Linked DNA regions of Nothobranchius furzeri. The protein of the gene in region 1 interacts with the protein of each later gene in a pairwise test. Links are inferred from orthologs where the notes say so. Each region holds a gene or a part of one and is shown in the gene's direction. Other genes may lie near its edges.

The links.
Region 2: the proteins of zmym2 (region 1) and foxp1b come close enough for resonance energy transfer, tested with the Homo sapiens proteins (2 studies listed by BioGRID). The link is inferred for Nothobranchius furzeri from reciprocal best matches to the Homo sapiens genes ZMYM2 and FOXP1.

Annotation. Positions count from the first base shown.
Region 1 is NC_091754.1:33,051,888-33,057,546, forward strand, and holds the start of zmym2 (zinc finger MYM-type protein 2), read left to right. Parts: upstream 1-1,876; 5' UTR 1,877-2,313; intron 2,314-2,641; exon of another isoform or gene 2,642-2,867; intron 2,868-2,877; exon of another isoform or gene 2,878-3,268; intron 3,269-5,659. UniProt on the Homo sapiens protein: Involved in the negative regulation of transcription.
Region 2 is NC_091743.1:44,404,180-44,409,054, forward strand, and holds part of foxp1b (forkhead box protein P1-B), read left to right. Parts: intron 1-2,821; coding exon 2,822-3,007; intron 3,008-3,173; coding exon 3,174-3,272; intron 3,273-4,875. UniProt on the Homo sapiens protein: Transcriptional repressor. Can act with CTBP1 to synergistically repress transcription but CTPBP1 is not essential. Plays an important role in the specification and differentiation of lung epithelium.

The DNA of each region.
Region 1 (5,659 bases):
GCATTCAAAAACAACAACAATAAAGTTTTAAGTATCAGGCATGACATTAAAGCAGACACTTTGATGCTCCACCTGAGAGTAAATCCATAAGGCTTGTCACCAGCATTCAGACATAAATTCTGTTTGCTTGACAGCCAGAAAGGACACGGGGGAAAAAAAACGTAGACAAGGCTTGCCTCATCAGTGTGCCACCCATGACAGCGGTGGTGTGATGACACCCATGACTAGGAGAAAGCGATAATGAAAAATGTCCTGACTTATCGGGGCTGCAACTTCCAAGGTCCTGCAGGTGATGAGACTTTACTCTTTTAATAAAACTTTTCTTATTTTGTTTCATAAAACGCTTTCCCAACTTTACAAGTTATTTACAAAAATATTCTGTTCATCTAAAGTGTTTTAATAATGCCTGACTGGTTTACAGTGATGACTGACTCAACATAATTGTTTATTCTGGAAATAATGCTTTATTTCAGATACTAAATACACCCAATGAGTCTTATTTGTTGAATTTAATAACGACTTATTATCAGTATTCACATATTAATATTACTCTATATTGATAAATGAATGTTTAACAGAGTTACATCACTTTAGGTGGAATGAGCATCTTCTAAGTGTTTGAGGAAGGAGAGGTGTCTGAGAGATTCTGATAACGCCCACTATTACACGTTCTAGATTCTGGTTTGTCTAAATTGGTAAACAACCAATTTTATAAAAAAAGGCATCACTTCCTCAATGCTTTAGTTCTAGCCCACGGGCTGGTTAAGCCAACTGGGTCAGTAGCATAAGGAACCATCCTTTTCTCCAGCAGAGAGACAACTCATCAGATGTGAAACATCTCGCCAGCAGACCTGGGATGCATCTCACTGGCCAGTCGTGCAAATTCAAAGGAAGCTATGACCTTTGAGATTCCAGAAGTCAACTCATCTTGGCACTTGGCCCGACTCGACTTCCTTGCCAGCTGGACCTAACGAGAATTTCCATTACAAGGGAAATCGTTGTCTCACACCTGGCAGTAGGATGTATTTTTTATTATTAATTTGACAACTTGTTAAACTTCATTAAACATTCGTTCAGACTTATTTTACAACCCAGGCATCACAGTTTTCTAAGACACTTAATTGTTTTTTTTAACACACCATCTAAACTCATATTTCATCATTGGTCATTCTGTGTCTCAGTTGATATCACCTCAACTCATGAAGTAGTAGAAGTACAATATTAAATACATTTTTATAAACTATATTTTCACCTCTGAGTCAAATTATTATAAAGTGTTGTTTCCCTGGCTTAGCTAAATTACCTAATTTCATCATCAATTGAATATTAATGGCTCAATAATATTGATAATCCACATTTTTATTGAATGTTACATTTGATTGAATATTGACAATTTTTTTAAAAGTAACCACTTACACAACATTATATCATCTTTCAGACAAAACATATAAAGCCGTGGACAAATTATGCTATTTGCAAGACCGAAAAAACTGAAATTATACAAATAAATAACATAAAATAATACATTTTAAGCAAAAGAACAGCTTTTCTAAGTAAATTACTACCCACCTCTGCATTCAACTGCCCTCCATGTTTGGGAGATGGCAACTTCATATAGCCCATAAACGAACATTCTGTAGGGTCACTTACACAACTGTTTTACTTGCCTTTATGAAAATGCTGCAAGCAAACACGCATGAGAGGAGATGCGGTTTCGAAAGTTATGTCCTTCCATCCAAGAGCTGGAATTCAGGCGTCTCTTTGTTATTCTCCTATTTTGTGTCCAGAACCTCTTTTCCAAGCAGGAAAGCAAAAGAGTCTTGTGTCGTTTCTTGTAATTGTGTGACCTGGCGTGGCAGCCCTTCACACAAGTGTACCATTTTCTGCAGGTTTATAAGCTCGCAACACATAAAGCAACCAACGCTTCTGTTGTTTATCTACTTAGCTATCCCATCATGCAACAGCACCTGATATGTCATCTGTCAAAGACAGATGGCTCATTCTGGAGGCTACTGAAACTGTCAAGAATAAAACTGATGAAATGCGAGAGGCATTTTGTCTAAATAAATTCATAAACATGTTGGGTATTGGAAATATAACTATTTTAAATTTTAAGTCATAATATGTCCCCTTTAAAGGACAAACCAAAGAGGATAGTTCACATTTAGATATCTGAAACGGTGAAGCGTCAGTGCTCAACTTTATAGACGATCTTTGGACGGCAAGCCGAGAGTTGCGTTGTGTGCGCATGCGCACAAGGGGATTAATGTCAAGGCACAAAAGTGGCGCTACAACGCTTCGAGCTCTACTCCGGTAAGCGAATTTCACAGTCGGTTTTTATCCTCCACGTTCACGCTTAATTGGTCAAAGTTTGGGAAACTTGAGCGGGACACAGGCCCGGATTCCCGGTCCGCCCCTCCGCAGCCACAGCCGGCAGAGGAGCGACACTAAGGAATCATTAAAGAGTTGATTTTAACAGCTTTCGTCTCCTGCTCCGCTCGCTGTGGCCGTTGCCGCCTCCAGTCTCCAGTATTGTTCCGTTGGTTCCCTAATGGCGGACGGCAGGCAGTGCTGTTTTCCGCTGGGGGAGGTGGGAGGTGTGTGGAGAGGGTGGGAGGGAGGGGGCAGATTTTATCTCCCGTTGACTAATGAGGTACACCTGGTTTACCGAGACAGACACAAACACCGGGGCAGGTACGACGCCGGGATTAATTGGGCTATCGCTGTTTACCAGCTCAGGGCACAAATTAAGGCATTTCATGTAAGGGAAGGGCGCCCCTAGCGGTGGTCGGGTATTTTTGCCACTGATTGCGCCAGGAGTGGACTACGTGCCGGGTAACTTTCCAATTAAAACCCCAGCTTCACAGGTATCAAATATTCTGGTGCACTGGGTCATATTCAGGGTCTGTTTTAATTGGGCTTGCTTGTTTGCAACTAGACCCAGGAGGAGCAAACGTTATGGGCTGTAGAGTCTGAAACGCAGCCATAGGTAGGGAGTTGAGTTGAGAGTCACATTGTGTCATGTGTAGCATTTACCTCTAACATAATCGGTTTGAAGAAGTGCTGATCGTTTTGGGAGGCGTTTTAACAATGGCGCAGTCTGTGTCGGCTCTCCTCCCCTCGATCCGCCGCTAATCCAATGACTGTTTGCGCCAGGAAGAGCAGGGGTGGGAGCGGAACACCCTGAACCACGTTTCTCCTGGACCCCAACTTGGAAGCTAGCATTTCCTCCTCCCAGGGCTATTTATGGCAGAGTTTCCCTGCTCAGGTAGTTGTTTTTCTTGCCATTGGTCAAAGTTTTGTGCTCGCGCTCATCTCTGGATTCAAGGTGTGTTAAGGGGGGAGAGAGGAGAGATTATTTCTTGTGTCTGGAGCGGATTCTGTGGTCTATCTGAACAGTGGTAGCAATCAAGGACACGGCCCGGCTGTCCTCTGAACGCATCACGGTGCCTTCGAGGTTTGGAGGATTTTTGGGGACAGCTCATCAACTGAGCAGAGCAGGGTTTAGTTTTACCATTCTGCTGCCAGGTAACCAGAGCAGGTTTTCCTCCAGCCCATCAGTGGGTTTTGGGAGGATGTTCTGGTGGCTGCGCACCATATTCTCAGTGACATAATACTTATATAATAATCTCACGCTTTTAATTTGAATTCGGTGTCTGATCTCCACCACCGACGCTACAGCTGCAGACCTCCGCCATGTGACCTGCCGGAGGAAACGTCAGCTGAGCTGAAGGTATAGCCTGGTGGTGGTGGGAAGGTGGTGGAGCACCTACATCCGAGGTGATGTGGCGCAGGCGCTGATGAGGAGTTTGATGCAGGGAGGCGGTCCCTCCGTCCACAGCGCCAGCCTACCTTTGCGTCCACCTGGTGTTGACGTTGGGGGCAAGGTTGCATGTCAGAGCTCATTACTGCTGGATGCTCGTTTCCTCTCATCTGCTCGAATGCAGGCTGTCTCACATCTCTGCAATGCAGTCTGTTTATTCCCCTCATAGCACGCTGCTTTACTCCTCTGTTGATGTGCAAGCAGGCCAGCACGCTGTGATGCATCATGTTTTTGCAGCAAATGTTGCAACTGACCGTATTATACCACCAGTTGCCATGGCAGTTGCACACAGATGTGTTTCACCTTCACAGGTGTGGTCTGACACTGCAGTCATTGGAGAATGAGGTGGACTTCCAGCCCAGAAACGACGTCCTGGTTTAGTGTTTTTGCTGCTGCTTCCTGTCACATGACCAGAGTCGTCTTCATTCAGCATCAGTGTTTTTAAAGCTGATTCTGATCAAGAACAGTCACAATCTTTTCTGTGGGCTTAAAACTCTATATTCTTTTGTCCCTTTGTTCCACTTATTGGTTTCTCACAGAACATGTGAGCATACATTCTCATTTCTAGATTTTAATGGCAGTATACAAAGTCGTTTCCTGGTTTAAACATGTTTAAAAAACAGTTTTGACAGATTTGCTCTTCCTAATGTTGTGGAGGTCATGTTTGACCCATCTTGCACTTTTTAAATTCAGTAAGTTTGAGTCAAAGTGGGAGAAATGGGAGACAACGCTGGCAGTGGTTGGTGACCAAGATGTTAATGAAAAAGAGAGTAACCAGCTGAATCTCAGATATTTTGAACAATCTGTTGCTAACTGGCAAAAAAGTTTTGCATCCCATTTTCTATTTCTTTTGTGAATGAGCAATTCCCTCTCACAGCCATATTTATCTCATAAGCAGCAGTGGCAATTATAATTACCCTGGATTTACAGAATACCAAATAACAGTTTTTCTTAATTTATGGTTATTTTTGTTAAAACAATTTGTGTGTTTGTGAAGATTTTCCTAATATTTGTCTAACATGGACACACTGTGAAATGAAAGATTAATTCCAAGGACATACAGATATTAGGGGGCAGCAGTAGCTCAGGTGGTAGAGCGGGTTGCCTCATGATCGGTCATGGGTTCGATTCCAGCTCCCGCCAGGGGTATCCTGCTGTTGTGTCCTTGGGCAAGACACTCCACCCAACTTGCCTGTGTTAGTGGTGGTCAGAGGGGCCGACGGCGCCAAATGGCAGCCTCGCCCCTGTCAGACCTCCCCAGGGCGGCTGTGGCTACAAGTAGCTTACCATCACTAGCAGTGTGTGAATGTGAGAGTGTGTGAAAGCGTCTTTGGGTGTCTAGAAAAGCGCTATATAAGTTCAATGCATTATTATTATTATTGTTATTATTATTATACATAATAGTTTAAATTGTGTGGCAGTAAATGGACAGATATGAGCTTCAGACCTGCATCCTTGGATGTTTTGGAACTTTTTAGCATGTAATTTTATTTCCTCATAAAAAATACCCCCAAACCCCTTTTTGGCTGCATTTGTGTGAATTAGACCAAATTCTTGCATGGCAAAGTTTGGTCTAGGAATGCTCCATTGGAACATCCACACCCCCTAGCGGCATTCTGGCTGGCCAGTCACAACTTTCTATAACCATTGTGGACCAATCACAGCGCTTTATCCACTTTGTGGGCTAATCAGGACCCTCTATTTGTGGAATGGTGCAACAAAGTGGAACAAGATGGCAGCAGCTCGTTTGAAACAGCTTTGGCATCAATTTTGTATTATTTGGACTTTATTAGAATCAGGAGCAGATTTATTTAAGTCCTTTTATTCAGGATAAAA
Region 2 (4,875 bases), on another chromosome or scaffold:
TTCTTAATCCCGCTGTAATATTTAGCGTTTTTTCTTTGGGTCAAGTAGAAGCTGCAGGTGTGTAAATGATAAGTGCGCATCCGGAGCCGGTGTAGAAAACAGAAGGATTTAATCTGGGATTATTGTTGTTTTAAGTAGAAATAATTAAAAAAAGTTTTAAATTTATTTAATAATCCGAGTATAAAATGATTTAGCTCCATGTCTGCAGCACGGTACGGGCTGTGACTTCTGACATGCTACAGTTTAGTGTGTGTGTGTGTGTGTGTGTGTGTGTGTGTGTGTGTGTGTGTGTGTGTGTGTGTGTGTGTGTGTGTTCGGCCAGCAGGCCTGTGCTGGTACAGGATTTTGCCTGCAGTCACGCTGCAGCTGTGTGAGAACGTTCCAGGTTTGGATGTTTATGTACGCGAAGGCACCTGGAGAGCACCACACCTTCATGAAATTCATAAACGTCAGCTATTTCTGGCATCCTCACAATGTCCTCTTTTTCACACCCTCACATCAGGAGAGCAAATTAGAGCTGAGCTTAGTGGATCCCTCCAGTTATTAGCCCGCTCCGAGTCCCGTTTCAGACTATTTTTAGATGGTGATGTATTCCTGTGGATCGTCTGGAGTCAGGATGTTATCCAGGAGATACGGCGGGGCATCATACGGGAGTGCTCTAAATGGCGACAGGCGGTCCTGTGTTAGCGTTAAATTAGTGCGATACGGCGGCCGAGTAATATTTTTCAGTTACGGTGCTCCTCCCGCCCCTCCACTCAACAGGAGCCTGTTTTAGTCAGATTTTCACTCCTCCTGCCCAGGATTAAATGTAGTAGTTACACTGATCAATAGGTGAAGAAGCACACAATCCCTCTTGCAGCTAATGACCTCAGTAGTAATGGGTAATAAAAGGAGGGTCTGTAATAGGCTCTTGCTGTAGTTACAGAGCGCCAGATGCTCCTGACTGGACACCGTGTAAAACCCTGATGGGATGCATCGTCTAGTGAAAAAGTCTAACCTATTGATCCTCTGTTAGGATCTAAACCAGCGTGTTAAATAAAAGTTTGCTCTCCTGCGCTGTGTGGTAAAAACAGAGATCGTAAGCTGCAAAGTGAGACGAATGCAGAGCATTTACAGGGCAGCAGAAAATAGACGCCGTGGATTCAAACGTGCACTAAAGGACTCCCACAGGTATTATTTATCTTCTCTGTGCACGGTATGTTTAGATGTGGACTATATGCGCCAGCACAAGGACGACCTTCAGAATAGTTCATCAAAATTAGTGATTCCTGTCAAATAAAATCATTTTTAAGAGCCTTTAGAGATGGGGACGGGAGGCCGGGGCTTTGCAAACGACAGGACGCGTCAGTGCAAAAGCAAAGATGAGCCGCGTATTAACACAAGAGGTAATTAGTATTGCGTTCTGCTCCCCGCGCCCCTTCCCCTTGGTGCTGGAAATGAGAAACGTGGAGCCGGTCCTGAGTCCTGAGCCTCCTTCGTTCTCCTGTGGTTGAAAGTGAAGTTAAAGGAGAGCATCAAAGCTGCTCCGTCCTGCTCGGTAGTCCTGCCCGTTCACTACGAGCTGCTCGTTACAGCCGAGCTTTGATTTTGTTTAATGCTGCAGCGGAAAAATGACTAAGGTTATGTGCATGAAGGGTGTGTGTGTGTGTGTGTGTGTGTGTGTGTGTGTGTGTGTGTGTGTGTGTGTGTGTGTGTGTGTGTGCGGGTGTGTGTCTGTGTGTGTGTGTGTGTGTGGGGGGGGGTGTCTTAAACCGCTAAATTACATTCAGAAATGCATGAAAAACTCAAATGCTGTCATTAGCTCTGAAATGGTCGTATAGTTGTTGAAGATGAGCTGTCACGTTATGTCTCCTCTATCAGCGTGTGACAGCCCACACACACACACACTTTATACTCATTTATGTCCTCTCTGATGTGTGTTTTTGTTACTGCACAGATTCATTGACACAACAAGTAACCAGCAGCGTCTAAAAGTTGCAGTTTGTCACACAAACGCCGAGGAAAGCAGCTTTTAGTGGCAGCATCCAGACGCAGCGACTCCCGCGCGTCGCCGGAGCAATTAAAGCACACTGACAACTACGGGCCCCTCTCAGTGTCACCACAAATCAGTCGTTCGGAGGAGCCGTGCACTCACACCTTTCTGCGAGAGTTAGTTAGAGGCCTGTGTGTTCTTCAGCCTGACTCCTCCTCCTCGGGCTCTCTCTAGATCCTCACAACAGCAGATCGCTGCTGACAGCATCTCTAATGAGATGTTCTTACAGGACCTACGTGTAGCCATGTCCTCAGGTTTGACACGTTCCATACCAACAACAGGATGGGAGGGACGTTAGCAGCGAGTCTGGAGGTTTAGGTGTTTCCGGTTCATCCACTGGTCTGGGTCTCGTAGAGGGGATCCAGTCGCCTCAGCCGGAGTCTCACTGGGAGACTCTCAAGAGCGTTTCCAAAATGTTTAGCAGGAGTTTTCCTCTCCTCGCGTCTGTGCGAGCGGTCGTTGCAGGCGTCTGGTTCCTGATGCGTCGGATCATTCTGAGAGACTAAATAGTGAGAAGAACAATTTCACAACATTCATGTAAAATCTGCTCTAATGGCGGAAATTGTTTCTAGTTCAGTCTGATTTGCATATTTTCTCTCAGTTCTGTGTCTCTCTGTGTGTTTACTGTTTAGTTAATAGAATTAGAGATTATATTGTTTACTCCTGATGAATTTAATTTACTAAACTTATTTTTTACAACGTTTAAGCTTTCAGAAAACTAAAGTTTTGTTTCTGTTAATAAATCTTGACGGTGTCTGCCTAACGCTGCGAAACCTGTGTTTGGACCAGGTTCCAGTGTCAGTGGCTATGATGACACCGCAGGTGATAACTCCACAGCAAATGCAGCAGATCCTCCAGCAGCAGGTCCTGAGCCCTCAGCAGCTCCAGGTTCTCCTCCAGCAGCAGCAGGCCCTCATGTTACAGCAGGTAACGTGCAGCAGTCGCGCCGTCAGCGCGCTTACGCTTTTTCCAGAGGTGAATATCACGTTTCAAACGCTCTGCAAATCCTCCGGGATGAAAGTACTTTGAACTGCCGTTCTGAGGTTTCTAAGCCTCGGAGAAGTTCCCACACACATGGCTGCCGAGGATCTGCCACTGTCAAACTCCCAACTCATTTGTCACCTTCTTGTCTCTTCTGCAGCAGCAACTTCAAGAGTTCTACAAGAAGCAGCAGGAAACGCTCCACCTCCAGCTCCTCCAGCAGCAGCAGCAGCATGCAGGCAGCAAGCAGAGTAAAGAGGTAGGCTGACATCACTCCCACCGCCAACGTCGGCCAGACTCGGCGCGCTCCCTCCCTCAGCTCCATCTGCTTTCAGGCTGTGGTTAAAGCACGGGCTGGGGTGGGGTGGGATGGTGAGGGGGTGATCAAGTGCACTCGTGTTTCTGATTAGCATGTCAGACCTGCTGGCTAAATGTTAGCTACTGACTGATACCACTCTATAAAGAAGACCGTAATGTTTCTGCCATGTTTACCGCGTGATGTGTTTTTGGTAATGAAGAGCAGAACGTCGGAGAGGAGGCGGCAAAGACACCGGCGCACGAGTCTGAGAGGCTTTTCTTGGTGATTAACATGGAAGTAGCAGAGGAAACCGAGGCGTGTAATTGTGAGATATCAGCGCAGAGAGCACTCCCAGCTTTGTTGCCCGCCTCTCTTTCCGTCTTGATTTTTCCTGCTCGGCTCCCCGCAGCACAGCGGGGCTCGCTCATAGGCGGCGGCTTAATGCGTGTTAATGACGGGCGGATACAGGCGTCGCTGCGGACAAAGCAAATCGCTACTGCACGGCCAGGACAAGTTCAAAGACTCGCTGTGGATTTTTTTTTGCTCCCGTCCCCGTTGAGTTCCATGTTTGGAGAGTAAAGAAGGGCACGGGGAAATTAAGCTGAACGTTAAAAGCAGGCGCACGCGCCCCTCCGCTCACGCACACGGTCCAAACGCACAACTTCAAAGTTAGAGCTCCCTAATTAATGAAGCGCGGGCTTCAGCTTGGACAAGTTGTGGCGTGATGCTCCCATAAATCAACGTGACAGCAGAGCTCCTCTGCCTCAGATAGGGCCTGTCACCGAGTCGCATCTGATGCAGACGGGGTGGGGGCGGGGGGGCATTGATCAGTTGCATGAGAATAAAAGAGGCAGAAAAGGTACTTTTTAAGCACATTATGTATGATCACAGGAAGTAGATGCAGCCTCAAGAGGCTCTCCCCTTCTGCTGCAGTTCTCTCTCTCTCTCTCTCTCCCCGTCGCGCGCTCTCCTTTTCACTTTCCAGCAGCCATCAAAAGACAGAATAAGAATGATGCAGCGACTCCCCTGTGGCTGCCAGACAATAACCCCCTGTTGTTGCTTTGTGCCTCTTTTATTTTAAAGACATCAAAATTTAGTTTTTCAAAGATCTTTAACTTTATATGTGAAGCTCGACAATAAAGGCCTGCCACTGCCACTCTCATCATCTGTCAGGAGCTGTATTTTTCTCTCCCTTGTGCCACTTCTTGTTAACCTCTTATTTGGTCTATTGGGTCTGGGGGGGGGGGGGTTAATGCGTGTGCATGCTGGGAGCGCACAGGAGCCGCTGTCAGCTGACGGAACGACGAGGGGGAAAGCCGCGAAGGGGAGAGGGTTAAATTCATGTAGCAGTGCCGGGGTTTCTTTCTTCTTTACTTTTCTTTTTTTTCTGAAAAGCCACCCTCTATTTATTTAGCGTTTTGATGAAAGACATTGTTCCTTGTGATCTCCCGCCCCCGTAGCACCATTATCTTTATCTGAGGCTGTCAGGGAGGAGCTGGGGAACAAAGAACTACTAAAGACACGAGAAACTTCTCTCACAGCCACGCCAAGTAGAAAAGAAGCA